3 linked regions of the Lytechinus pictus genome follow. The protein of the gene in region 1 purifies or fractionates together with the protein of each later gene. This does not show direct contact. Links are inferred from orthologs where the notes say so. Each region holds a gene or a part of one and is shown in the gene's direction. Other genes may lie near its edges. The genes, in order: akirin-2-like, proteasome subunit alpha type-5-like and importin-9-like.

Region 1 (10,743 bases):
TGATGATGCTTATGCTGATGATGATGATGATGATGCTAGATGATGATGATGTTGATGATGAAGATGATGCTAGATGATGATGATGCTTATGCTGATGATCATGGTGATATGATGATGATGCTAGGTGATGATGCTAATAGGTCATGTCGGAGCACATCACAACATATTTTCCTAATCATTCTCCGACATATTTCTTTCATCACCAGCCAAAGAAGAAGAAAAACATCAGCCATGACGTTTTCAAGACCATGCACGGCAGAGTTCACATGGAGAAACAAGACTTGGCCAAGTTACAGATCAGAAAGGTCAAAGCCCTTAAGAGGACAAAGGAACAAACAGAAGACAACCAGAGTGATGTAAAGAAGAAAAGGAAGGAATGATCAATTCGAGTGAACACACTAGAACTTGATGACATGCATGGCAAACATGGATATTATATTTGCCTGAACTTTAAAGTCAGTCTATTTTGACTTTTCATATGGATTAGATCATTCACTGACACCGGTCTCTGTGAAAAGCAATGGGATATTCTGATGTATAGCTGCATCTTCGGGGATCAGCCAAGTTGAGACTGTCCCATCAAACAGAATCAAGTGCATTCCTATAATAGCTTGATTCTGGTATTGCCAGACCAGAGATAGTGAGGTATGAAATGAATATAGAATGAGGCGTGGAAAAGAAAGCAATTAAGATGACACAACAAATGCTCCTGCGACAATTGCTCCGGGCTTAATTTCGTCTACGATGTAAGGTTAGGGTTGCAGTAGGGTTTTATGTTAGGTTAAGGGTACGGTATAGTGTTAAACCCATGGTTGAAGTCATTTGATTATCGTGTGGAATTTAGAGCTGAGCAATTGTCACCAGAGAAAATGTCATGGAACCAGCAATTAGAAAGTATCTATTAATCATACAACTTGATTCAACTGTCACCTGTTACTGGGTCGTGCAGGTGTAAAATTGTCAAAATGAAAGTTTTGGAATGTTATTTTGACATGATAATGGTACTCTGATAGCCATGGTTGAGTTTAACCTGGGTTAACTGAGACCATACTTTTATGGAGTGCCATTAGTCAATACATTCATCAATTAAAATGTACTATCCTGTTGCAAAAAAAGTTGTACAAAAAATAATAATTCAGTTGTGAAATGGGTTGAATAGAAAAATGTGATGAACTTTAATGAATCCATTGGTACATTATAATTGCCATAAATATCAAACAAATATCATGAAGCCCAGCATTCTATAGAAGTGTGGATTAAAATTATAGGTTAGAATAGGATTAAAACTAGTTTTAAAATCAGAATACTACACTGGCCCGAATTCACAAAGGTGGTTTTGAAAACCCACGGTTGAGTCCATGGTTTATGCAGATTTCCTGTATAAATTACGCTTAATTTAGCGTGTATCGGGCGTGTGTATAAAAAATGTCCAATTCTGATGCGCGCCATGTGATCTCCCAAAGTACCTCAGCTTAGATAGGGTTTTAAGAAATCAATAACCAGTTTAATATGTGAATTTCATTGTAATGTTGAAATTATCAGTCTGTGTTTTATTAAACTTGAATACTAAGGTAATATGTATCAGAAATTAGATTAGTATAATTTTTACGTAAGGTCAAAAGTCGTTTTAGATCAATCAATTTTCATTAGAATTTATATTTTTTATAGATTTTTTTATCATTATTGAATGAATTTTGTATAAGATGGTTATTTGATTATTGTCAAATAAATGATTTTAGTTTTTACTCTAATTTTGAAAAATTATTCAATAATTTGCTTTCATTTTCCATGAAAGGAAAATAAAGTTTCCAAGCGGATGCGAGTAACATTGCCCCTTCATATCTTAGGATTATTGCATTGTAATATGTAAAGAATAAGATAAAACATTATTAGGCAGAAAAGCATCTATAAAGATACCACATAGTTACATATTATGAAGCAGAAGTAATTTATAAAGCAGTAAAGAGATATATGTACATGTACAATGTAAATATAAAAATAACAAATCTCCACTTTTTGTATGTGTATTATTGGGAGTTTACCTCTTTTCTTTGAAATGAAATGTTATTTGTCTTTTATAAAACCTTCCAACAAACTCTAAATTTTATGTTTTATGAGGGTTTTATTGTGAAAAGAAAATGTTGAAAGTTTGAAGGGAAAGGGAGAGGGAAAGGGAAAAGGAGAGAAAGAAAGTGAGGGAAAGGAAGAGGGAAAAGAAAATGAAGGGGAAAAGAGAGAGAGGAAAGAGAAAAGAAAAAGGGATAGAATATAGAAAGGAAGGGAAAGCGAAAGAAGCAAAATGGGGGAAAGGGGAAGAGAAAAGGAATAGAAAAAGGGGAAATTAATGAAGTGTAAGAGAAACAAAAGAAGGGAAACGGAGAAAGAAAAGAAAATGGAGGAAAGTGACGTTGAAATGGTTCTGCTATTTTCCCACAAAGGAGTAAGATGACAAGGAGATAAAAGAAGAAGTCCAGGGGCGACTGGCCCTAGCTTTCTCCCTCGACCCCCCCCCCCCCCCCCTCCGCGCTTAGACAAAGGAAAGAGAGAAGGGTTAGGGTTCTGAACAGCGGCGTACCCAGGATTTGCCAAAAAAGGGTCTTCAAACGTAAATAAAGGAGATTTCGTACAAAAAAAAGAGGGGGCACACGTCTTGTTTCTTTCATTGCATTTTTACATTACAAATTATTATTATTTTGCTTCTCAAAAAGGGGGGGGGCACGTCCCCTGGACCAGTTGTGACCCGTCAGGGGGGCAGTCTGCCCCCCCCCCTAGTGGTTCTGAAGGTAAAGGCCAATAAAAGGATGAGAGAAGATAAAACATAAAGAAAGAGGATTGCCGCTGACCCTCTTCATGATATTAAAAATATATAAGAGCGAGGGGATTTAAGGAGTCCCCCTTCCCGCCTCGTCCCTACGCTTCTCCTACCCCTTTGAGTAATCAAGAGAAATTTATCATCAGATCGAGGCATTTAATAACACATCAGGGCTCAATGCAACATTGATATCATATGGGCCGGAGTGGCTGCGACCCCTGTTGGCCGTAAAAAAAAAAGATAAAAACGAGAAAAAGGGAGAGAAAGGAAGGTAAAGATAAAACAACAGGAAGGAAAAATCAAATTAAAAAGTAAGAAAGTGGGAGCGGGAATAAGCATACTGCTAAACTTCGACAATAGTCCTCAATAAAAACCCCGCGATTATGCTTAGCGCTCTTATAACTGAAAAAATATACAGGCCTAATGGGAGGGTGAAGCCCGATTAGCTGAATATTTGTTATTTATTCCTGATAATTTACAGGTAAAAATAAAAGAAACGTTTTAGTGACTGTTTCTAGGAAATCATCAAAATAATTTGTATCTTACTAAACAAAATGATTTAATCTCGGAGCACAATTTTTTGTAGAAATACTTCTGTATATATTTACTTAAAAACATGAAATCTTATGCGCCATTTCAATGCCCTAGCTTGAACACAATATTTATCTTGACGAATATAATAAATAGGCATTGCGAGTGTGAATTAAAACTCGAGCGGAGTTTTCTTCTTTTTTATGCTGACCTGAAAGTGTTTCTGTTGTCCAGATCCCTTTCCTGTTCATCTTCCTCTTTCTTGTATCCCCCTCCTCCTTTTCTCTTTTTCTTCCTCTCATCTCCTTCCTTTTGTGTGTGTGTTTTTTTTTTCATTCCCCCTCTAATTGTGCCCCCAATGAGTGGCTATACACCCGTTTGGTCCATAATTGGATCCAAAATCACAGGCGGGTCCAGGGGCAGGGCCGCCCTCCCCATATTGTCGAGCAAATAAAGAAACAAGAAAAATAAGGGGAAGGAAGGGGGGAAAAGAAAAAGCAAGAATAAAGGATAAAGAGGGGAGAAGAAAATAAAAGAGGAGAGAATAAACTAGGAAGAGGAAGACGATCAGTGAATAAAATAAGGTAAAGACTTGAAACTTAGAAAAAAAACGTTTCATGCATGTGCACTACATAAATTTTCGCCTGCTCTTTACGCTCGCATTGCCTGTTCAATGAGATACAATAATATTTATTGCTCAATATGCCGCTGATCTGAAGCTTAAAATATCAAGTTTTTAAGTAAATATACAAACAATATTTCAGCTCGGACATCGAGCTTTCATTATTTTGTTTGATTTACCATTAATTTTAAAACAAGTGCTCTGTAGAAATGTCTGTTTTAAATCTGTTTTTGGTTTAATTGAATATCAACATTTTGAGTTCGCGCTGCGAACTCGTATCATTTGATAATTATGTCAAGTACATATTCTCTTTTTGTTTTCCATAAAGGTCTCACGATATATCCCTTTACAGGTCTGACTGTCGAAACGTATCGCTAGGGGAAGTTCAGCTGATGAAAACTTTGTTGTAAAAATAGCAGAAAAATATATTGGTGAAGGTGTGAGGAAACCCATAAAATATTAAGAAAGTTATTACAATTTCAAGTTTTGATTTGTGACGTCATAAACGAGCATGCAGCTGCCCCATATGTGATGTATTATAAAATGCATAAATTTCTTTTTTTTTACGGTTCGTGATGACTAATTTTTATTTTCTTTTAGGAGCAGATATACTGAAGGTGCAATGAAAACCATTTTTCAGTTTTCTGAGAAAATGATAGATTGATTTTTTTTTACCAAGCATGTTGGTAGGAAAGCCGCTCGCATGACGTATACAAATCAAATAATTAAGATTGTAATAACTTTTTTATTCTTTGATGGATTTCCCTCAAACCTTCGCCAACAGTTTTTATCATGTTTTTTGCCATTTTTACAATCAACCTTTTGTCAGGGTGAATTTCCCCTTTAATTCTAACAAACTACTATTCCCTTTACATGACAGTTTATGTCATCCCTTAATTTTTTTCAAAATATATCGACAAGTTTCATCTCGAGCTTAGGAAATAAGAATATAGGAAGATATAGTCATCATTTTCATATGATGACAAAATGCCCCTCAAATGTCCCGGTCCTTATAGGTCAAAATAATTATCTTAAAAAAACTCGCGCTTCGCGCTCATGCAGTGCTATCCATGATCGACTTCACAATTTTCCTATGCTTGAAATAGTGCAAAATTGACCCTTCTTGAGATCGGAATATAATTTTTTTCTCAACTCACGCTTCTGCCGGCTCGCATGATTGATTTTCATACTAAAAGGAATGTATTTAGAATGCCCACACGTCTATAGATCTGAAAAACATGGCGACCCTATATCCGGGCCCTATATGTTATCATATGATCATTAATTTTTTTTGCGCTGCCACTAACGCAACGATGGCTTGATCCATCTGCAATATCTTTGACACATTAACGTGAAAAAGGAGGGAGGTTATAATAAATATTTGTATTTCCCTAATAATGCGAGCGCGAAGCGCGGGCGAAAATTTTGATATTTTAGCCCATGCATATCCTGGTGAAAAATTATTTAGGCCTCGATCGATCCGTCGATGAACAGCTAGATCTATAAATATCTCACTTAACAAAGTGAAGAAATATTGAAGCGTGCAGAAATATTTTTTAATCCAAAATTTGTGGGGACGTGTCCCGGCCCAACAGCTGCCCCCCCACCCCCCCCCCCCCCCCGGGGGGGCACTCGACCAAAAAAGTGGTAGGGGTGTGCCGCGGGCGAGGCAAAAAACGGGGGCCTTGGAGCGGGCTTATTTTAAAAAGGAGGGTCCTCGGAACGGGCTTCGGAACTACAAATGTTTGTGAAAACGGGGGTCCTCAGAACGGATCTCCGTATCTCTGTGAGTGCGTATGCATCCCTATGGAATGGGCAATCGTGCATAACGCAGCTAGCGCGGCCTCCGCCGGGTGCGCTCGCACTTAGGCGATGGTCGAAAAGCGCTCTACGGCCGCTTTTCACCAAAATTGTAGCAGATCAATGCGACTGGAACGGCGTAACGAAAAATATGCAAAGCTTTGGAGCGGATTTCTTTCTTCTTTTTTCTCGATAAAAAGGAAATGCCGGGGAAATGCTATGCCTTGGAGCGGCTTTCTTTGTTCTTTTTCTCAATAAGACAAAAATGCTATGCCTTGGAACGGAAATTTGAGTGTAAAAATGGGGGTCCCCTCCGCGGCACATACCCACTATGCATTATATACTGAGTGCCCCCCCCCCCGGGCCCCCCCCCCCCCCCCCATCATAGGCCTATGCCCCGATATGTATGAGTACATTAGGACACATATCTTTGGGGCCCTCGGGTCATCTCTTTCCCAAAATTCTTTTTTTTTTTTTTATTTATATCGTACGCCGTATAAACATATAGGGCAAGAATAATTTATTTACGGTAATTTAGTTACGGGGGGATTCTAGTTACGGTACCGTACAGTCAAGCTCGATGTACGTACGTACCAATGTGTACGTAATCACGCAGTGTGTACATGTATGTTATGGACCCGTACGTACGGACACGTACACGTACGTACGTCGTACGTACGTACGGCCGGTAAGCCCGGCCCGGTATACGGCCTACAAAGCAACTTTTAAACATCGCAGGGGACGAGGAAACGTCGATTTAAATCGCGAACCATCAGTTTAATTTGGTAAAATAAGGACAATTACCTGATCAGTTTTAATCAAGTGGAGGTTTCTCCACATTACCCTTTCAGTTTGTTTGAATTTGAGCGTTGCATGTGCCCATATTTTGGGCCTAAAAGGAGGGGTGTTTCTCAGTTCTTCTTGTAAATCTAAAATGGCTTGTGCGACACTAAAACGGACTCTCGACTTTGATCCACTTCATAGCCCTGGAACCTCCCCAAAAAGAAGAAGATGTTCACCCATAATCACTCCGTCAACACCAACTTCTAGAAATAGTCTTCAACAATCACCATTTTCTCCAGTAACACCTAGAATATCACCAGGTGAGATTATTTGAAGTTGAACGTGAGTCACCCAGTCCCATTTTTTTTATGTCAACAAAACGACATTCGTCACAATGAATGGAAATTCCGGCCTGCGTTGTCTGCGTCTGCAGACTGCACAGACATTCTGTGACGATTATTGGTTTGTTGACATTTTTGAAGTAAAAAGTGGTTCACTTCATCAATGTCCATGCCTGGGTGTGAAACTACATTAGCGCCCATCATGCTGGCACAAATGCTGTGCAAAATCTACAAACATGACAAAGTTGGGCGCTGATGCCCGAAGCCGAGTGATGCAGTTTCGCACTGGCTGACTCCGGGAGGGGGGAGCACTCATTATATAATGCGTGGTGGGTATGTGCCGTGGAGGGGACCCCCATTTTTACACTCAAATTTCCGCTCCAAGGCATAGCATTTTTATCTTGTTGAGAAAAAGAACAAAGAAAGCCGCTCCAAACTAAACTAAAGCATAGGCCTAGCTCATTTTCTTATCGAGAAAAAAGAAAGAAATCCATTCCAAAGGCAAAGCTTCGCATATTTTTCGTTACGCCGTTCTGGTTGCATGTACCAGTATCCGCTACAATGAGCTGCAATTTTGGTGAAAAGCGGCCGCAGAGCGATTTCTGACCATCTCTGAGCTGCGTGAGCGCAGCGCCCGTGCCACCGGGCTAGCTGCATGCATGTACATGTATGCCCGTTCAATAGAGATGCACACTCACATGCAGGCAAACCGTTCCAAGGACCCCCATTTTTCACAAACATTTGTACTGTAGTTCCGAAGCCTGTTCCAAGGACCCTCTTCACAATAAGCCTGTTCCTAAGCCCCTGTTTTTTGTCTCGCCTGCAGCACATACCTACCACTTTTGTGGTCAATTCTAGATTTCTTGAAAAGAGATTGACTAAGTTTTCTTAGACTAGACCCTAGTCTAACGTTAAAGAGAAATTCCAGTAGTTGCAGTAAACACTGATTTCATGAGGAAGTCTGTAAAACCAGGCTTAATTGTCAGTATATCATCGAGGATCTAGATCTGGTACAGTTACATAAACTGAACTTTGTGAAATCTTGAAATCTACGCTGAATAATGTTCAGACTGAACTTCCCCTACACAGATAAGCGCACGTGGGACAGTGTATAATTATTGCTTTGAGCGTCGGGCCCGACGCTCTACCCGAATCCTGTGCTTATTTGCTGATTTCTCAGCAATTACACAATTTCTTCCAGAATCCTTTGGCACATGCGTTTTATTCATACAAACAGACACTTTGGTGGTCATTTCATTGGATTCTGTACGAACTCATTTTGATATCGTTACCAAAACTAGCATTTACCTTTAATCATGACATGTCACGACAAAGTGAGAATTTTTTTTTTTAATCCCAGTCGAATTAGACTTAAATGTGCAGACCCATAAGTTTGCCATCAATTTTTAAATTACTGAGCTGTGCCACTCACCTGTCAAACAGTCAATGTATGACATACAGTAGAAGCGCCCGGCCAATATTCTTTGCACAAGGACAAAAGAAACAATGTACACCAACAAGAACATAATTTTTTCTTCCCAAAATTTTGTCTCACTGAGGTCAGAAGCCCATTTGGTTTATGTGTGAATGATGACAAAAATCAAACAACAGTTGACAGTGAAAAGGGTTATTTATCTTAGGGAATCTGCTTATCACATTTCAAATAGCCGCCAAGGTAATTCTTTTGCAGCAAATGTACATGTAGACAAAGGAAATTGGTCTCCCAAACTAGAGGCTGTCTCTGAAATTGGAAATGAAAATTGTAACACCATCATCCTTTTGTTGGGTGAGTTCAAGACGCATGGCGTCTTGAAATGGTTTGTAATGTTATTAAGTTTTTTAAACTGATGTTCATGGATTACCTTACTTGTTCTTATTGATGAACAGGCCAGCTTGCAGCTCACATTAGTCAAGAATGGCGAAGGATAAAGCGAAGGAAACGGTTGGAAGATTCGTACAGCACCGAGTCACCTGTATCATCAGAGATGATGGAGCAAGCATCAAGGTTTGGTCTAACATCGGGATGCTTCTCACCACCATCCACATCCACCAATCCTATGCCCAACTTGCCTTCAGGCTCTCTACAACAAACACAAACCAAAGATCAACCCATGTTCACTTTAAAACAGGTAGGAATGGAGATGGATGGTTTTGAATAAACAACCCCAAAAGTACCCCCTTCTTTTTCAACATGCCGAAACAAGTTTTCCCTGAATGTGCTTTATACTCATGCATGGCTCAACGGATCAAGTGCATTTTATTTTAGATGAATAAGTCCATGTCAATAGTGCAAGATCACTGGTACCAAGTTCATTTATCAAAAAAATTATTTCATTTTTTTTAAAGGGAGTAGTTATTTTGGTTCTTGCATGTTTGTGGCTCATGGTGTTGGGGTTTTTTGTCAGGCTTGGGATCAAATAGGAATGCCACTGCCTTACTTTTGATCTTTAGCAAGACTTTCGTCTTCATATCCCCCATTTTATAGTGAAGCTATAGCAGTCATGTGAAATATCAAGTAATGGCTGTAAAAAGTTATTTCAGTGTTGCTGATGTTGACAGCTACATGTATCTTTAATTCTAATTTGTTCTACAGGTTATCCTAATATGTGAACGGATGTTGAAGGAGCAAGAATCTAGGATACGTGAGGAGTATGATAAAGCCCTAACGTGCAAGTTAGCTGGTAGGTATCCCTTTTTCATCAACAAGTACTGATACTTTTCATCAAGCAAGATGCCAGGGTTCTTACAGGAATTATGTTAGATTAAAATCAAACTCGTAATTGACTGATTCAGTTATGGGTAATCAAGATATATGAATCTAGAATAGGTCATTGCCATAAGTAATAATTATGAGCGGCATGCTTGTTAAAATCATTTTAAATCTAATTAATTTGACATTTTGGTGTCCAGACTTGACCTTTGAAATTGTTCAGTCTGGAGTCATTGTCTGCCAGATGGCAAAATATAAATCGCAATTTTGCCTCTTTAACATTTTTGTTGTTTTCACCAGTGACTCCCCACATTTCCCAATGACTTTGTACACAATATAAAGTGTGACATATTCTCTGCTGCACCCCAGCTGAATGTATCCTGTGAATCCTTTCCCTAGGATAGGATGTTCAATTGAAGAAATTTCAAGGTCATTTTGATGAAGTTTCCTCTTTAACCTCCTTGCCACTGGTTACACTAAAGCTAAAACCATGTATCATTGATGGGAATAAAGTGAAGATACATTCTTAATGTAGGTGAAGCTGTCCAGTTCAAATATCTTCTGACCGTAGTCCGTAGTATCAAGTAAAGAAATACCTGATATATCGCATAAAATGGTCTGGAAATTGTTTGGACCTCAAGTGAATATTTTTGTTAACCCTTGGCATACTAATGTTGCAATTTGCCCATTCATTACATTAAATTCCACAATTTTAATTAGTTTTCTCCCATATAAAAGCTAATAAAATGGCTTTAGTTCTTGGATAATATTTATACAATAATTCAAAGAAGACACCATACACATAAATTTTGTCATTATTATCCCTCAGAATTCAGCATGCAAAGAGTTAAATGGAACATCCACTTGTGCAGAATTAACTGTAACAAGGAAATGTATCATTGAGTCCAAAGGGTTTTTCATGCCATTTTTGCCATACTCTATAGTATGCAAAATGAAGTTATGCTGCAAGCATGAAGGTAAATTTATAGACTAAACATTCTGAGAACCTTTCTTAGTTCCTACTGCATTGATCGTTATTATTCATTTGCTTTTTTTATCCTTTGTTATTTCAGAGCAATATGATGCATTCGTAAAGTTCAACCAAGATCAGATTCAGCGTCGCTTTACCTCTACAAGCATGAGC
Region 2 (9,892 bases), on another chromosome or scaffold:
GCCCCACACCCACAAAAGGGTCAATCATGTGAAGTTAAACTACGGAGAACGGTGTCGACTTTCTTGAGACTTGACTTTCTTTAACTAGTCTTATCATGGACCTATTATTTATTAGTATTATGAATGGTCTTATTAAGTTTGAGTCACATTTTGATTTGTCATTTGTGACAGTTGTCCCGTCTTTTTTAATTTTATTTCATTTTTTTTGCTACTCACCGAAATTGGGGATACCGAACTGCACTTGCATGTATTGTGCTTTATCTCCTTGTTCCTGTTCCCCTTCATTCGGATTGAGTCCCTTCAGGAGGTTGAGCAGAGCCTCCCGAGGGACCTTGGCCCCTCATCCTTTCAACTCAGTGTAGCGCGTCAAACGAAAATCTTTGTGCAATTCGTGAGCTTCTGGGTCGAAGCGACGAACAACCTGCTGTTGTTGTTGGACAACAACGGGCTCTGTCACTTCAAATTGCGGCTGTTGTTGCACAACGATGGCCTGGTGATGCTCGGGGATATGCTGTTGCTGCCCCACGTCTGGTGGCAATCCTGCCATCTTGAAATATCTTGTTTTATGATAGATTTCTCTCACAAATCTTTGCCAGCACAGCAGTCGTCCACAATTTTCAAGTCCCTGGCAAGAAGATTCTACCACGGGATGGCCGCGTGGTAAATGCGTACCCAGAATGCACTAGATTTTCAGGCTCGCCCAAGTAAAGTTTTAAATTGTTATCCCTTCTTTGTAATATTGATAAATTTCAAGACAAATATCAAAGAAATCTCAAGGTAAACAGTAATTTATACAATTTCGAATCATAATTCCATAAGAATTCACCTTTTCGTGCTGAAAACATTTGCCGATAGGTGTGTGGATGAGCGTTTCAGGCTAATAATTATTGAGAAGTTAGGCAGTCAATCATCTTTATACACTTCTTTAGGCGGTACCGATGTTCATCGCATGGGATTGGTTGATTGTGAGATAGCATGTGGCGCGAAAATTGAGGACTTTATCAAATCCATGCAGAAATCATGCCTTTTTATGGAAATTACGATTTCCAAATGTTCCATAAAGAACGAAAATTTGTTGATTGGACTCCTGTTAATTATAATGAAATGCACGTTATATGAGTTCACCCTGACAAAAACTTTATTGTAAAAATAGCAGAAAAAGGAATTGGCGTACGTAGGTTTGAGAAAAATCCATCAATCAAAAAGTTATCAAATTTTACTTATTTGATTTGTGACGTCATATGCGAGCATCATTTTTACATAGCGAATGGTAACAAAATCAATGAAATGTCATTTCTCATAAAAAAATGAAAATGGTTTCTATACGTACCTTTTGTATACTCAATAGACCAATCATTTCACACCCGATCATGAAAAGAAAACAAAAATCAGTCTTCAGGAACCATCAAAATAATGAAATTCAATCATTTTATATTACATAATATATGGGACAGCTGCTCGTTTATGACGTCACAAAAACTGCAGAACTTTCTTAATTTTTAACGGATTTTCCTAAAACCTGAAGTTCACCAAAACGATAGGCCCCCGGATAGGCCCTATTTGTTATTAGTTTTTCTGCTGTAAAAACTTTTCTTCGTGGCCGGTGAACTTCCCCTTTAACGAGGGAGGCGACATTGCCCAATGCAATGAAGAGAAATAATAAACAACTTATTAGGACCCCGATCTGATAGGAACCGAAATAAGTCACTATCCAATTAAAAAAAGGCAGGCCGCCCTGGCCTGCAGTGAAAAAGGTGCACAGTAGGCCAAACTAGCGAAGTCGTGTTTGTTTGATATATTAGTGGTAGTAAGAGTGATGGAGATAACTTTTCGCAAAAACTGATTATGAGAAACGTGATGGAAATTGGACTTAAAAAATAATAGGTAACCAGGAACGAATAAGTAATTTTGTATTGAAAAGAAAAGCATAGATAGAATCTCCAAAAGAAAGAAAGTCAGGTATAGTGTACTGTATGATTAGTTGATCTCAGACAAGGTCGGTGAATCTTGAGAAAGGGTCCCTACGCTTATAGCACAATGTTGTACTGTCCATCTTTCTTCCCGCTCTTTACTTTCAATCCTCGGCAGCCCGGTCGTGTTATTATGTTTTTTTCTTGCCCAATTTCCTTGTTTTCCAATTTAGCTTTTGACTAATTCCATTCTACCTTCGTTTCCCGCTATTGTTTGCCACTTTGTCATCTTTTGATTTATTTCCCATCGTCATGCTATTGCATTACATATATAGGCCTATTTCGGAATGATTTGTTCTTTCTCAAACGTTCTTCTTTCGTTCCTTTTCCCGCTTAATTCCTTCCTTTTTCATTTAATTTTTTTCTTTCTTAATTCGTTTTATTTTCACTTTTCCCTTTCCCTTTCTTTTCCTCCTTTCCCTTTCCCCTTTCCTCCCCCTTTCCCTTTCTTTCTCCCTCCCTTTTCTCTTTTCCCCCGTTTTTTTTATTTTCCCGGTGAAATCCGCCAGGGGCAGCTTGCCCCCCTGCCCCCGCCTGTTATGCCACTGGGGGTGTCCCCAACATTTTGAATATTCAGGTCATTATACAGCTATCACCCCCCCCCCCCTGCTCGGACCGGATTTTCGCCAGTGCATGATATACGCATGGGCGTCGCTAGGCCTTTCCTAGGGGGGGGGGGGGGCACTGATTGCCTACAAATATTGGTACCATTTACGGCGGCCGACGACCATCAGCCATCGGACTGAGTTCACCATTCTCCTCAGTCACATTTTTTTTCGTCATACCCAGGGGGAGATCCAGCTTTCATCAATTTATATAGGAGGGGCGGAAAACTATTTTTATTCACATTTTCCCCGTCGCGGCCGCCAAAATCTGATTTTTTTCTTCGAGGGATTAAAAGTCTTTACAATATTTTCATTCTTATGTATAGAAGCAAGATAAGGCATTTTATGTGGCCTGAATGTAAATTACCATGCGAGCGCAAAGCGCGAGCTCAATTTTTTTAAATACAAATTATAAAAATTTTGAGCAGCTTTTCATGAACCAGATTTGAATTTTACTAAACGATCCGAATTTTTGATATACTGGCCTGTAAAATGACCTGTTGACTGTTCGTAGTGATCAATGAATAGAATACATATCTCTCCAATCCAAAAATGCGAGGGCGAAGCGCGAACAGAAAATTTTGATATTTCGACCAGGAAACTGGACATTCTAAGCACTTTTTGAATGAATAATATGCGTACATAACTCATTAATAAATTCATGCGAGCGCGAGCTGAAACTTTTAATAACTATTGTAAAAAAAAAAGGGGGGGGGACGTGTAGGCCCTACTGTTTGCAGTGATTCATGAATAGAAAACGTTTTCACGAATCAAATAGAGCGAGCTGAATTTCTTTTTCATAATTATTATATTCGACCAGAAAACTAAACTGGTTAAGCACGTTTTTCATAAAGAACACAGTTAACACGCGAAAAGCGCGAGCTGATTTTTTTTTCAGATTTTAGAACTAAAAACAGTATTCGAAGCAATGTGACCATGAAGAGGGTGGACATAGAACTAAGGAATTGATTCCATGCAGTTTTTCTAATCATGAGAAGAAAGGGTATCAATGAATGATGCGAGCGCGAAGCGTGATCTTGAAATATTTGATATTTTGACTAAACATTTTTACACGTTTTCATGTAAAGTCAAATTTTTATATCATTGAGCGCGTATCTCAATAAACATAATGCGAGCGCGAAGCGCGAGCTGAAATGTTTGATTTATTATAACCCGAAAGAAAATCTTTTAAGCACTGTCCAACATGAAGGAAAATTGTGGAGAGGATATGTGATCTCACTATTTAATATCCCAGCTAACACATAACGTTATAATAACATTATTGAAAGATCTTAGAAATGCTTTCGAAAAACATTTCTTAAAAACATTTGCATAACATTAATGAAACATTATTCCCCTTATGTTAAACATTAAATAAACGTTATTATGATATAAAGCATATAATGTTTTGATGGCCTGACAAGAAACATTTAAAAGACATTTTTTTAAATGTTATTAAAATATCTTATTAAAATGTCTAATCTTGATGTTAAAATGACATGAAATAAACATTCTTAAGAAAACAAAATGATATTTTTTCTAACGTTTTTATAATGTTTCATAATGAATGTAAAATTAACATCTTAAGAACGTTCTTAAGAATAAAATCTAATGTTATAAAAAGTCATGAAAATATGTTTTCAGAATATAAATGTTTTTCTGATGTTTTTTAAAATGTATCAGAAGTATATTAATTTTGACGTTTTTGTGATATCATTATAACATTTTAAGACAAACACTGTAACATTTTACTGACATCTTTAAAATGTTATATCTTGGATGTAAAAATAGCATTTTAAAAACGTTGTTAGAATATTATGACAGTAATGATAAAAGTTCTTGAAATGAATTGAAACTACGATTCTACAATGTTTTAACAAAATATTTTTGAAAAATGTTTTTCAAATGTTTTCCAAAAAAAATTAATAAGATTATTAAAAAACATCTTTATATTAACATTTTTTGAGAAACAAAATAACATTTTACTAACATCTTTTGAATATTATAAATTGGACGTGAACTTATCATTCTGTTAGAATATTCTAACAATAACATCAAACGTTCTTGAAATGTTATGAAACTATGTTTTTAAAATATTTCAACAAAATATTTCAGAAAAATGTTTTTCTGATTTTCTCTAAAAATGTTTCAAAAATGTATCAGAAGCATATGATGCGAGCGAAGCGCTAGCTTTTTTTTTAAATTTCTTTCTTTCTTTCTTTCTTTTGAGATTTAAATCTCAAACCACTCTCGGTACCGAAGCACGAGCTGACATTTTTTTTCAATATTTTGACATGAAAACTTAACATTTTCACACTTTTTATAGAAAGAACAAATTCAGATTCCGTATGTATAATTGAACAAGCTGTGTATCTCAATGAATAAACATAATGCGAGCGCGAAGCGCGAGCTATTTTTTTTTTAAGAGAGAGGGGGGATCCAGAATTTAAACCACTCTCGGTACAGAAGCACGAGCTGACAACTTTGAATATTTTGACATGAAGACTTATAACTTTTGCAATAAATTATATAGCTAGGGCCTATTATGTTGTCACGACCAGACTCTTGTCAGAATGAGCGCGGGAGCGGAGCGACCGCACGAGAAATTTTGCGTTTTTCGAATGCAAAAATTAGGCCAATTTGAGCACTTTGATTCACATTAGAGAATCCACACATTAAGTTAATAGTAGTATTAACTATTTGATGATGATGATGGCTCAGTCGGTATAGAGCGGGGGTTTCGGATTCCGGTGACCCGGGTTCGATTCCCAAGTGGTGCGCTAGTGCCCTTTGGTAAGGCATTTATCCTCATTAACAGGTCCCTCGGAGAGGACCTTAAGCTGTCGGTCCCCTGGTTGCTTGCTCACAGGCATTCGTGCTTTCTTAGCAGTCAGGTAAAAAACCTCGATATAACATAACATAACATAACATGATGAATTTTTTTTTTGGTCTTGAAAGTGGGGAGGGGATGATTGTACACGCCACCACCCTCCGAAAAGTGGGGGGAATATCCCCCTCCCGGATTTACGCCCGTGGCGTACATCATTACCGATCCATAGGCTTCCCTTTTGGGGGACGGAAGCCCACTCGATCAGCCCCCCTCCCATCAGTCAGGCTGTCGTCGTGATATCACCTTGCTTTGCAGGGAATTCGAAAAGTACCATCCTGCAGACCATATTTTCTCGTGTGTCATGACCAGCACTGACTATTAAACGATAGAAGTCTCTATATACATCATTTTCAATGTACGAAGATAGGTTATGCTACCATGCAAAAAATTGCTGTTATGTCTGTCCTTGATGTAACGAAGACATTGCCAATTTCTATACCAATGATGACTCAGGGCGTATAAAGGTCTTCTCGTTTGAACATATTTTTCAACCGATATTAGGTATATCATGCCATGAGGAATGATCACTGTCAACTGAAAATACATAATGTGCAGGATGCACTCAATTTCAATGTTCAATGTTACTCCACATGAACATACTATGTGCAATTCCACATAATGCGCTCCCGTGCAAAAAGAGGGACCACACCCCGTGACGTCAATCTTTACCCCGAATCGCAAACATGTAAAATAAATATCCCACAATGCAACGGCAACATAACATACTTCCGCCGAAGACTGCTCAGCAAAAAAGAGATCTTCTTAGCCTGCCCATTTCAAGTTAAACGACGGTAAGATTAGAATGAAATTGCTTTGGGTTGAAAAAATAGCCTTTAATTGAAATTTTGAAGGTGATATTAACAATCATGATGCCTCAATTTTGGCTTAATTTGTCTTTAGGTCAGTGTCTTAGTCTCAGTACGGTCCCACACATAGATAATTATGTTGGAAAATATTCCGTAGGGGCCTATGTAAATTGTGTAAATTATTCAATCGTCCAATGCAACGCCATCCCCACCGCAACAGTCAGTCGGCAAGCCCTGAAAAAGTAGCTTCTTTTATCCAAGTGATATTCATGACTAGAGGGTTTTTGTATTGTTAATTATCCTGATGCTGACGAAAACACCTCTTTTTATTCGGCCATTGGCATTGCCAATCCGCATTGCTGCTCTAAAAATAATATTAACCAAATTTCATATTTTTGGTATCTTTGTAAAGAAGAAGAATCATTCTTTCAGGTCATGTGTTTGGATTTTTAAAAGGATTTTGTATACTAATATAGGGGAAACTTTTGATCTAAAACGTGAAACAAAATTTTTTCATGCGACAAAAGTTGTTGTTTTTTCACACTTAATTTCTGTTTGAGCACAAATGATTTTTAAATCATGATAAAGCTGAAGATCTAAGCTTTAGTATGATATAATTTTTATAAGATGTATTTTAGATGGGTCAGCAGCCAGCTTTTCATAGGCCAAGTACATTTAACAGCTCAAAAACAAGAATACTGCGCTCTGATTGGTCATAGAGACCACACACCCACGCAAATTCCAATGTTCCCCACACTGGGCTTCTGCAAGGTCACACTCACCATGTGGTAATCTCTTCAAATTACCCGCGCCTGTTGTTTTGACAACATTATTCAGCCAATCAGAACTCTGGATTTTATGTTACTCAGAAATTTCAGAAATCTTGTCTTGCATCTTGATGGAAAAAGCTGGCTGCTGACCCATCTAAAAGATGCCACATATCAAGAGTGACATTGTAAGAAAGTATACAGGGGTGTGAGAGTTCAGATTTTTATCTGATTTCAAATATTTTTGTTTTGATTTTCAGCTTTCAGCTTATTTTTGACCTTCCTCTGTACAAAAAGTATGGGAGCTCTTTCTATTTCAGACTTTTTCAACACTCTTCAGCTTTTTTCAGATCTTTTTATTTGTGACCACTCACACCCCTGAGTATAGAGTTTGAGCTTTCTGATGATATAAATAATGTTTGTGCCTAAAACAAAAAATGTTGCATAATTTGCAAGTGAAAACAGAGGAAGAAAATTCTGTTTGATGCATCTTTTCAGGTAAAAAAATCACTTATTTATCAAAATATTTTATTAAAAAGAAATGACCAATATTAGCAGGATATGATCACTCTCTGATCACCCTACGTCTACGATAATTGTACGTAAACCAAATATGTATTGGGCCGGAATTTAAGTGATTGATGGAGCATGTAAAATGTGAATGGGGCATGCCATGATCAAGTTACATTATTTAGAACTTAATCGTCATTTATAAGGTTTTTCGCTAATCAGAACCGCAATGCGTTATGGGATCGAAAAGGGGGCAAGCAAGCTAGCTCTGCGCACTGCAGACAGTCCGCAGTGCGCGGAGCTACATGTAGCTTGCTTGCCCCCTTTTCAATCCCATAATGCATTGCGGTTCTGATTAGCAATAAACCTTATTGAGCCGAAGTCGGAGGAGATGCGCCATGGCATGCCATGAGTGTTCCAACAATGTCCTTCTAATCTTAAGGCTGCCTTAGGCTCTTTATATGGTGTTCTATTTGCAGGTTATTATGAATTGGTAAATGGAAGACACTTTGTTAGTTACATATATAAAGGTAAAGCCCTTGACACTCAGAAACTAAGATTTTGATTAAGAAAATGATCATAAGCGAATAATATGCGTTTTCCTTCATTTCATGTTGAATCGATATTCATTTTGTATATTTGTGGTCTATTATGTTACATTTGGAAAAGATATACGTGTTGATTATTATGTATTTACATTTCAATAAATATCTTGGCTCTGTTGTGTCCTGAGCAATTTAAATTTAAAGCATGAGGATCAGTGGTGGTGTTGTATTTAAAATCAAAATTTAGCAGTTTGTGTGAAAAAAACGAAAAGTCTTCCAAATTCCTGGCAGCTGAAATTCATTAAACTTTCCCTGGAAATTTGTTTATAAAATCTATGAAAACTTTCCAGCCCTTTGCAACCCTACTCCACGGTCTGAAGTTTTGAGAATAGATCCCACTTGATTGAGGGAGTTGGCAGGAGTTGAACGTATGATTTGCTATGGCCCATGCTAAATTACCGTAATAATTTGGGGTAGTCCGGTGCCAAGTGCCAGAAAATTAAAAAGAGTACAAGGGCATATATGAAAATTACTTGTGGTCCAAAAATATTAACATAAAATAGATGAAAGATTTGCCCACTCTTAAAATAGAAGTATTGCTGTCCATCACATTACTCCATTGGTTTTTGTTTCCTCCAACAGGTATTTAGTGTTGTCAACATTCTCATTTCACTATGTTCCAGACCAGATCAGAATATGACAGGTACGTAAAGTAGTATTCAGGTAATACTTATTTTTTTTATCACACTCCGAACAATAGGCCTATGTTCATTTTTATATGATTCAGAGGTCTGCATTGTACAACTGTCATATGGTGCCATGACTAAAACTATTTGCTATGCCATAGTGTTGAGTAGCTAGGACATTATTTCCTGTAGAAAATTGGCATGTAGTTGCCTTTGATACACAAGAGAATGAATAACAACCAATGGACAGGTACATATATATGGGTCATACTTCACATAAAGAAATCCAAAAGATTTTCTGTGTTAGAGTTTGCTTTGGATGGAAACTTTCAAAGTCTACAGAAAATGTTATGGATGGTTGTAGAACAGGAGTTCATTATACAGCTATGATAGGGAATAATCGTTATTGGATCGACCATGTTTTTCTTGTCGGGATATATAAATCAGGGTCAGTTTTCACACCTAACCAACCTTTCCCCTCCCGGTGTATACCGTTTCTAACCATCTTTTACATTGCTCTAATTTCTCTTTTCCATACTTTTATTTTGGCAGGGGAGTCAACACGTTCTCTCCTGAGGGACGTCTTTTTCAAGTGGAATATGCAATAGAAGCTATTAAGGTTTGTACACAGCATTGATTCGTGTTATTCTTGTTATAATGAAACATAGTTAAATCAAAGTGATTAAAAAAGTCATTAATATGAATATAGAGATGAATGAATAAGATCAAGGTTTCAGATAGTTAGATAGAAATGTATAAATTAATTGTTGAATAAAAAGAAAAATGGATCATAGAGACAAAGATTACAAGAGGATTGAGAAATATTTTTTTTTTTAAGAATGAACATATAAAAAGAGGATAAAATAGATATTGCAATTAACAAAATAAAAATTAAAAAATAAACAATGGATTGATTGTTAATGAATCAGATGTAATAAATCTCTAGCCAGATATTTCAAGAATTTACGTCTGCAATTTACACTGTTATGTATGTTTCCAACTTTGTGTTGTTTGCAGCTTGGATCTACAGCTATTGGAATCAGGACCAGTGAGGGCATTGTGTTGGCTGTTGAGAAGAGAGTGACATCACCTCTGATGGAAGCCACGAGTATT
Region 3 (10,015 bases), on another chromosome or scaffold:
GCCATCCAATATAAATATTCATGCTGTTTGAGGCTGGGACCCTCGCGTGCGATGTTTTGAAATCGGACGTAAATAATACGTGTGAGGAATTGTGTGAGGAATTAGATACTGGCCAAAAATCACCAATTTTGAGGACGACCGGAGGATGGACACGGGGTGAAATAAGGGTGAAGAGTAAGAAATTAAGCTTTTATTTATCGTTGATGTCTTTTTTTTAATATATTTTTTACAATGTGCATTTTTTCCCACCTTAGCCACTCGGAGTATCCGAACGAGTTCACTCACTGTCTTGATGCTCGGGTTGGTGGAGCTTAGTGTAGCGGTAGTGAAGTGGAGCCTGCACGAACATCACTTGAGGTAACAATATATATGCATTTTTTCCACCTTTACCACTCAAGAGTATCAGAGCGAGTTTTGGACCTTGATGTTCGGGTAGGTGGAGCGTAGTGTAGCAGTAATGAAGTGGAGCCTGCACGAACATCACTTTGAGGCACCCATTCAATGAACAAGGTTATGATAATATAACCTTGTTCTCTGTTGTATCTCCATGTGTGGCAAAATAAGGGTGGCAATGTTTGGCTTATTTTCTCTTTTTCTTTGGGACAAATGCTTGATTTTTTTACACTGACAGTTTCCATTACACCTATTCATCATACAACTTGCTGCTTACGTAAATTTGATTCTTTCAATTATTTTCTTCTTAATTTAAAATAGAGATTGAAAAATGAAAATTTTCTTGCCATATTACTTTCCACCAATAGAGGGCGTACACAAAAATATGCCCAAAATTCCAAGTTTTTGAGCGCTCTGGTGAATACAAAGATTATTCCCAAGGCCAAGTTACTAATGAAAAATAAATTGCAACTGTAAGTGTAACTAAGAGTCAGACTAAGCAGCTAAGCTTAAGTAACTGTAAAGAAATTTGTAATTTTGGTCACAAAACTTCATAAAGACATAAGTGATATTTTAATTATTTTTTTAAAGTGTGTGCTCTGTACAGCATTGGCATACCATAGTCCTACCCACCCAAGGGTTCATTACATGCCGCCACGCACATAAAAATCAAGCCATAGAAGTCGTGTGTTGTGGACCCAAGAAGTGAGATCCCAGCACGCGCGACCCACTAGTTAGAAATCCACTGGCACTGCCAAACGCGGTTCGTGGTGCGAGGTTAGTCAGTAGAGGCGCACGGCCAATATGGGAAACTCTCTCCAATAGGGGAGACAATCTCCCACATTGGAGACTTGCTTTGCAAAAGGACAAAAGAAACAACACCAACAAAAGCATGATTTTTTCCACCCAAAATTTTGTTTCACTGAGCCCGAGGTCAGAAGCCCATTTGTTTTGTGTGTGATTGACAACAAAAATCCTTATCAAAACAAAAGTAGACGGTGAATTTTTAAAGTAGACGGTGAAAAGGGGTAATTTTTCATGAGGAATCTGCTTATCACATTTTTATTTGCCGCCAAGGTAATCCTTTTGCAGCAAATGTAAACAAAGGAAATTGGTCACCAAAACTGGAGACTGTCTCTGAAATTGGATACCCAAATTCTTTACAAAAGTCTCTGATATTGGAGATAATCTCCCACATTGGAGACAGTCTCCAATATTGGCCGTGCGCCTCTACTGTTAGTAGGGTGTCTGAAGCCACACTGAAAAGTGTCAGCATAAAACAGGCTGATTTAGGGGAAAATATGGCACATTTTTTCGGGGAAGTTCAGGCTACTAGAAAAATGTGATCTGAATTGATTATTAACTTATGTTTGGCATGTATGGAAAGAGAAAATTCAGGGGCTTCTTTTGACAGTAAGGACAAGTTTATATGATCATTTTAAATAAGGATTTAGAGATAAATTGCAAACCCTTATTTTTGTGTGTGTTGAGATTGCCATTTCTCCATGCGTTTTCTATGGGAAAATGAAATTTCTGTTTTGCACAATTTTTTTCACTTTGTCGCAATTTTTCATTGTGATCTGGTTTCCAAATCTTTATAAAAATCATACCATCAGATAGAGCATAAAAAATCCTATTGGACTCTTTATGGACAAGTTTTTGGCATTAATAATAAATTTATTAACAGCTCTCGGAAGCTAAAAATTTGGATTTGTGTATGTCCATTTCTTAACTAGAGCCTACACAGTCTATGGCAGAGAAATGCTGAAAATTGACCTAATTTCATTCTTCTTTTTTGCAGCCAATAATTGGACTTTTTTCAAAAATTTTACATTTCTGTCAGTCTGAAGGTCATTTCTCTTCAAATTCACAAACTTGACAAAGAAAATGTGATATTTTCTTGAAATAAGAAAAATAATTTTTTTCTCCAGACACCCTACTGAGTACTGTTAGTGTTAGTATACTAACTAACCTCGCAATACATGTGAGTGAGTCCTACCTGTAGATTCCCCACAGGCAGGATGGTTGCAGTGAGCTATCAGCTAGTGCTTTGAGGTAGGATAAATATAGAGTAAGTGTAACATTAAAAGTCACTTAACTTACAGTTAGGGGGGGCCTACACCATATTGAGTGTATGGGGCTACTAGCATGACTACCATGGCATGAGCCATGAGTGACACTATTTTATAGTAATATACTAGGCCTATACTAAAGTAATAGAACAAGAAAAATGTCAATGGTGTTGATGATACGAACTTAGAAATCCTATCAACTTTCATAACGTTAGAACTCTTGTCGAATTTTCCACAATACCTCGAAATAACAGAATAAAAGTTCAATCCTCTTGAGTCTTGTCAAAATTACTTGCCTCCGCTCCGCTATAAAGTGGGCTCTCACTTCACAGTCACAGTGCTAGTGCAGTGCAGTCTAGGACCCTTCGTTGCAACTTGCGAATTGCATGGAGCACACACGTGCGCTCTTCGGTAATGGTGTGTTTACGTTAAATTTGCCAACTACATTATTCCATAAGGGATAATTATCATTATGTATTTTTCCTGGATATTATACTACGAATTTTACATTGAAATTTTACCATTTCATATATTTTAAATTTAATTCTATAATATCAAAAAGAAACTAGTACCGTACGGAAGTGTCCTTAGCCTCAGGCTTAACAAGCCAGGATTTATCGAGATTGTGTTGTTCACTGGAATGTATATTTTTTACCCATTAAAAAAATCAACTATTCCATTTTTTTTTTCAATGTTAATGACTAATTGATTTCGAATCTTAAATATATGATATAAGTATTGACGAGCAGACAAATAATGGAACTAAATCATTAAAATCTAAAGAAGTTTCGTCCGATCTCAGACTCAGTAAAAGAAAATGAAATTACGGTAAAAAATATATATATTTATATGACTCCCAAAGAAGGCCGTGTTGTCAGGGTGGCCGAGCGGTCTAAGGCGCCAGACTCAAGAATAATTCTTTCTCTCGCACATGAGACAAATGGGTGTTCTGGTCTCCGAATGGAGGCGTGGGTTCGAATCCCACTCCTGACACATTTTTTTTTTCTTCTCCATTTTACAGTCAGAGGAGAGACATCACAATAAGCACTGCAAAACGGTAATATCATAATAAGCTTGTGCTTGAATCATCTATCTTCTTCACAATTTTCCTATGTTAAAGAATAAGTGGTTCCATATATCGGATCAGTATAGGCTATATTGTAATGTACAATCACTTTGACTTTGAACTGAATGATTAATAAATATTACTAAAAAACAAAAATATCAGTATAAGAAATTTCAGCTCACACATTGCGCCGCTCATGGATTGTTTAAAATCATGCACAGCTCGTTCTTTATTTGAAAACTATATGCCAGATTGGAATAGAAGACATTCAGAGCTCGCCCTTTGCACTCTTATCATTTACTAAAGTAGATAGGCCCCATATACCCATCATTTTCATGTTTACAAAAAAGTTTATAGAATGTCACATTTTTAGGTCTTAATCTAAAAATATGTGCAACAGCATGACGCAGAAGAAAAGAAAGCCGCCCATCTCCTCCCCCGGTCTGTACGTCCAATGGCTAGCAAAAAGTATACAGTGCGTCCCAGAAAAAACGAAACCGAAATTTAGCGATGATTTATCATAACTTAATCACAAATACAGTAGACAAATGACCTACCAATGTAAAGCTTAGAATCTCCTCTTTCATCTGATATTACTTAGATTATTCCTCATTCACGCATGAGTGAGCAAAAATAATTTGAAGAGAGGATACCAAAAACTCATTTGGCGGGGGGTATCTGAATTTTAAAAAGAAAATCACATGCCTAAAAAGTTCAATATCTGCTCTTTTATTTGATACCTTAATCACAAAAAATGGTCAAGAAGTAAAAAAGTTACGTTCCCTCGAAACAATGCTTGTATTTCCATAATTTCATTAAATAAACGTGTTTTCACCGGTTTCCCACAGAAGCTATCGCATGGTTAACAAAAGACTTCAAGCATGGCTGAGCGTCAACAAAACGGAGTGTCGAGTGAGTTTGAACGCTAGCCTGTAAAACCTCTTCATTTTATGAAATTATTGAAATTCAAGCCTTATTTCAAATAACCAGAACTTTCTTATTTCTTGACCATTTTCTGTAATTGAGGTATCAAATTAAAGAACAGATATTGAATTTTTTAGAAATGTGGTTTTCTTTTTGAAACTCAGATACAGCCCGCCAAATGACATTTTGGTATCCCCTCTTCAAATTGTTTTTGCTCACTCATGCTTGAATGAGAAATAATCTAAGTATAATTTCAGATGAAAGAAGAGATTCTAAGCTTTACAATGGTAGGTCATTTGTCTATTGTATTTGTGATTAAGTTATGATAAATCATCGATAAATCTCGGTTTCGTTTTTTATGGGACGCACTGTATAGTGCTGCAAATTCATCGGCCCACTTCCCCATCTCTTAAAGTTCTCCTCCTCATTCTTCATTGTTGTTGTTGATGTTGTTGTTCTCGACTCAGCTGACTTTCTTACTCTTCTTCTGACTCTCTATACTTCTTCGACTCCCGAGATCTTGCGGATCTCTATTTCTCTATTTTCTCCTCCCCCTCATTCTTCTTCTTTAAAAAAAAAAAAGTCCACCCTACAAAAATGTTGATTCGAATAAATGAGAGAAAAATCAAACTAGCCTAATGCTGAAAATTTCATCAAAATCGGATTTAAAATAGGAAAGTTATGACACTTTAAAGTTTCACTTTTTCACAAAACAGTGATGCAAAATAATGAGAGTCGATGATGTTCCCTCATTCACTATTTATTTTGTTTTTTTATTGTTTGAATTATATAATATTTCACTTTTATTACAGATTTAACAATAGGTACCAACTTGACTGTACCATTATAATTCTACATGTTCAGAGAAAAATAACCCCTGTTTCACTTGACAATGAGGAGAAAATTAGAATTCCATATTTCATATAATAAGATACAAAAGAAACAGTGAGTGGATGACATACCACCACTCCTCATATTGCATACCGACAAGGATGTGCATAGATCTATTATAGACCTACTGGTTTGTGAAATTAAGTGAAACTTTAAAATGTCATAACTTTCTTATTTTACATCCGATTTTGATGAAATTTTCAGTTATGCTTGTTGGATTTTTCTCTTTTTACTGAAATCAACTTTTTTGTTGGGTTGGACTCCGGGGTGGACTCGTCCTTTAAGTTGTTCCGTTTGTTCTTCCCATTCACTGACTCTGATCTTTTTCTGACCCTTCTTCTTCTTCTTAGTTCTTCTTCTTCTTCCTCCCTTCTTCTTCTTTTTCCTTTTCTTCTTCGTCTTCTTCCTCTTCTTCTTCTTCTTACTTACTCTTTTTCTTCTTCTTCTTCATTTCTTCTTCTTACTCTTACTCTTCTTTTGACTCTGCTTCTGAGTCCTCTTCTATTCTGACTTTATCTCTGATCTCTATTTGTCACTGCATGTACTACTAGCACTGGATAAAACTCGTAGCGCTAGCGCGCGCAAATAAAAAATTGACACACACGGCGCGCACTTGTGATCGTGATCGTGAGGAAAAGTGAAAGAAGTCATCATGGCTGTCAGTGAAGTTGAAGCGAGCAATACTGTCAGGAATGCTTTAATTGAGAGCCTTACAGCAATCCTTTCTCCTCAACAAGATGTTAGACAGCAAGGAGAGGAACAGCTTAAGCTCCTAGAAGTAACAGAGGGTTAGTAGTCTCTTATCGACACGTTTGGTTATCATTTATGTTCAACGTTCTTACTTGTGATTGTGTTTGTGTAGTCCCAAATGCTCAGTTTCATGTCCGTGCGGTGTGAACGTGTGAGTGTGAACTGGGAATTGTTTTAAAACTTGTCATATGGCACACTGTGTGTGTGGATTTGAGTTTTGTCAGACGTGTATCAATCAGATATGATTATTTACGTCTGGGACCGAACTTTAACGTCACCATCCGAAAGACGTGACCAGGGGCTGGGCTCGAACCTCTGGCTCTGCCAGATGCGGCTCTGCATCAATTGAATTTGTATTTGTAACTTCCCCAAACTCACTCCTAACGTTAGTAGGGGCCGCGGAACCGGGGGGGGGGGGGGCTTCAGCCCCCCCACTTTTTTCCAAAACCGTGTACAAAAACGTAAAATTGACCATATGATTGTGATTTTTAGCATGGTCAGCCCCCCCACTTTGAAAACCGTTCCGCGGCCCCTGCCTAGTACCACTCCTAGTACCAATCATGAGGTCCAAACATTACATGTATGGACCTCATAGGCGACATCAGTAGTATTTTTGGTTAGAAATCTCTGAGAACAGGATATTTAGGCCTATATATTATATCACAAGTACAAGCTATATTCCTTTCTCTTATTTAAATTATAATTTTATAGTGTAAATGCATCGTTAGCAACAACAAAAAAATGAAAGAAATGAAGGGGAACTTACATTTTCACGGCTTTTTCCTGATTTTCTGGGCAGTTGCTCTTCACTTCTGACTCGCAATCGAAGCTGATATGAAGATCACGTGATTCGCGTTCTCGTCAGCTGATCGGTTGGTTATTCTTTTCGTCAGACGTTAATAATATATATTTTATAATGCTAGCATTCATCGCTAATTTAGGTGAAAGAGATTGAAGTTAAACAGCGCCAGGTCGGAATCATAATTATTTTGGAAGAGTGTATTTATACACTCGATCTCATACCTGACGTAGACGGCGCTATTCAACAAATGCACAATCTTCAATATAAAAAATAAAACAGAAAGAACGCCTTGAACACATGCCAAAATGCCTAACGATTTCTCCGCGGCATTAACAACTATCGTAAAGGGCGCTCCATTTATTAATAAAGATGGATGTATAGCTGTCTATGGCGACAAAATTTGCCGCAAATATTTACGAAGAATTGTGAGAAATGGTCTGAAAATGCAACAAAAGAACCGGTGAGTACCGATTAAACATTATCAATTTATTTAATAGAACATATTTCATGACTAGAGTTTAACAATTTCTAGATAATATTGCTTAGTTCTAAGCTAGGGCGGCCCAAATGCGCGTGAGTGGAGTCCCAGTTTATTAGCACGGGTAAGTATTGGGGTGTCGCCTAGAGTGCCTAGTACTAAAGTCCTAGTACCAATGAGGTCCAAACATTACATGTATGGACCTCATAGGCGACATCTGTAGTATTTTGTGTCAGAAATCTTTGTGAAGATGATTATTTGTGTATTATAACACAAGTACGAGCTATCGTACTGTCTATTCATTAAATTTTTGTTTAAGAAAGTTAAAGCATTGTTAGCAATAAAAAAAAATTGAAAGAAATGAAGGGGAACTTACATTTTGACGACTTTTTCCAGATTTTATTGCCAGTTGCTCTTCACTTCTGACTCGTGATCGAAGCTGATATGCAGATCACGTGATACGCGTTCTCGTCAGCTGATCGGTTGGTTATTCGTTTCGCCAGACGTTGATAATTATATATTTCATAATGCTAGCATTCATCGCAAATGTAGGTGAAAGAGATTGAATTTAAACAGCGCAAGCTTTAATTTTCTCAAAAATAACATTTAATTGATTGCACAAGTTTCGCCTTGGAACAAGTAGGATCATTTGGTCCCATGTTTGCGTAACTACGGGGGGGGGGGGGGGGGGGTGGGGCGGGGTGTCCCTACCACTATACACCCACTAGCCAGCAAATATCGTTTTTTCTCCTTTTTTTTAACCAAAATACCTCCCCCCCCCCCCAAAAAAAAAAAAAAAAAAAAAAATAGGGTTAAAGAGAAAGAGAATTGAGGAACACAATATGCTCTATTTTTTCCTCTTTTACTGTTTAACGAGACTTGTAATGAAATATTAAATGGGGCTTAATTAGAACAGCCTTTTTTAAGTCAATTTATAAAAAATATTCCTCCTCGGGATTTGAGCTTTCATGAAATATGAATCTTTTTCATGACTACCGAAAGCGCTAAATATGTCCAAATTTTTAGTTGGTATATAAAGCTTTAGCTCATGCGTTGCGCCCGTCTTATTTTAATGTTATACAATTTTATGCTTTTAATGAATTTCTAATTCTCAGATCTTGTCGCAATCCGATTGGTAGCTATAATGAAAGATTATTATGTTTCATGAATTGTTCAAAATGTGTCTCTCTATCAGTTTTGAATATTAAAAAAAATGTCAGCTCATGCTTTTTGCTCGCAATATTTTGATTAGTAAGAATTTCTTCTCTTGTATATGCGAGTTATAGTAAATAACTAGAGATAGAGGGGGGGGGGTCCCTCAGCTACTTGTCCTCGCTTATTCCCAATTTTTGTCTCACCTGCATAGCAGAGTGAGACTATAGGCGCCGCTTTTCCGACGGCGACGGCGGCGGCGGCGTCAACACCAAATCTTAACCTGAGGTTAAGTTTTTGAAATGACAGCATAACTTAGAAAGTATATGGACCTAGTTCATGAAACTTGGCCATAAGGTTAATCAAGTATTACTGAACATCCTGCCTGAGTTTCATGTCACATGACCAAGGTCAAAGGTCATTTAGGGTCAATGAACTTAGACCATGTTGGGGGAATCAACATCAAAATCTTAACCTAAGGTTAAGTTTTTGAAATGTCATCATAACTTAGAAAATATATGGACCTAGTTCATGAAACTTATACATAAGGTTAATCAAGTATCACTGAACATCCATAGTCAGTCCGCAAGCCCCTGTGTTAATGAGCAAATGAGCAAGATTTATCCAAGTCCTCTCGTGGCTGAATGCATGTCCCTGCAAAATCTCGTGAATTGTGAGACTTTCTTTCTCAAAGAATTTAACCACTTTTTCCTTGAGTAATATTGATTATTTTTGTACCATGGGCAAGAGTAAATGTTACTCTTTTATATTGGTCATTTCTTTTGAATGAAATATTTTGATAAATAAGTGAATTTTTAACCTGAAAAGATGCATCAAACAGAATTTTCTTCCTCTGTTTTCATTTGCAAATTGTGCAACATTTTGCGTTTTAGGCACCAACATTATTTATATCATCAGAAAGCTCAAACTCTATACTTTCTTACAATGTCACTCTTGATATGTGGCATCTTTTAGATGGGTCAGCAGCCAGCTTTGTCCATCAAGATGCAAGACGAGATTTCTGAAATTTCTGAGTAACATAAAATCCAGAGTTCTGATTGGCTGAATACTGTTTTCAAAACAAACAGGCGCGGGTAATTTGAAGAGATTACCACATGGTGAGTGTGACCTTGCAGAGGCCCAGTGTGGGGAACATTGGAATTTGCGTGGGTGCGTGGTCTCTATGACCAATCAGAGCGCAGTATTCTTGTTTTTTAGCTGCAAAATGTACTTGGCCTATGAAAAGCTGGCTGCTGACCCATCTAAAATACATCTTCTTATAAAAATTATATCATATTAAAGCTTAGATCTTCAGCTTTATCATGATTTAAATATCATTTGTGCCCAAACAAAAATTAAGTGTGAAAACAACAACCTTTGTTGCATGAAAAAAATATTTTGTTTCATGTTTTAGATCAAAAGTTTTTCCTATATTACAACATTCTTTTAAAATTCCAAACACATGACCTGAAAGAATGATTCTTCTT

Evidence for each region.
Region 2: the proteins of akirin-2-like (region 1) and proteasome subunit alpha type-5-like purify together in Homo sapiens (affinity purification with mass spectrometry; 3 studies listed by BioGRID and IntAct, with this or other methods). This does not show direct contact. The link is inferred for Lytechinus pictus from reciprocal best matches to the Homo sapiens genes AKIRIN2 and PSMA5.
Region 3: the proteins of akirin-2-like (region 1) and importin-9-like purify together in Homo sapiens (affinity purification with mass spectrometry; 3 studies listed by BioGRID and IntAct, counting the BioPlex papers as one, with this or other methods). This does not show direct contact. The link is inferred for Lytechinus pictus from reciprocal best matches to the Homo sapiens genes AKIRIN2 and IPO9.

What each region holds. Positions count from the first base shown.
Region 1 is NC_087248.1:10,423,426-10,434,168, forward strand, and holds the start of akirin-2-like, read left to right. Parts: upstream 1-6,423; 5' UTR 6,424-6,699; coding exon 6,700-6,868; intron 6,869-8,776; coding exon 8,777-9,018; intron 9,019-9,482; coding exon 9,483-9,570; intron 9,571-10,672; coding exon 10,673-10,743. Other genes in the region: ribosome production factor 2 homolog, read left to right, coding at 207-380. UniProt on the Homo sapiens protein: Molecular adapter that acts as a bridge between a variety of multiprotein complexes, and which is involved in embryonic development, immunity, myogenesis and brain development.
Region 2 is NC_087247.1:8,334,399-8,344,290, forward strand, and holds the start of proteasome subunit alpha type-5-like, read left to right. Parts: upstream 1-5,887; 5' UTR 5,888-6,256; intron 6,257-8,735; 5' UTR 8,736-8,767; coding exon 8,768-8,796; intron 8,797-9,331; coding exon 9,332-9,398; intron 9,399-9,796; coding exon 9,797-9,892. Other genes in the region: inactive selenide, water dikinase-like protein, read right to left, coding at 217-247. UniProt on the Homo sapiens protein: Component of the 20S core proteasome complex involved in the proteolytic degradation of most intracellular proteins. This complex plays numerous essential roles within the cell by associating with different regulatory particles.
Region 3 is NC_087247.1:53,573,308-53,583,322, reverse strand, and holds the start of importin-9-like, read left to right. Parts: upstream 1-5,998; coding exon 5,999-6,134; intron 6,135-10,015. UniProt on the Homo sapiens protein: Nuclear transport receptor that mediates nuclear import of proteins, such as histones, proteasome and actin. Serves as receptor for nuclear localization signals (NLS) in cargo substrates.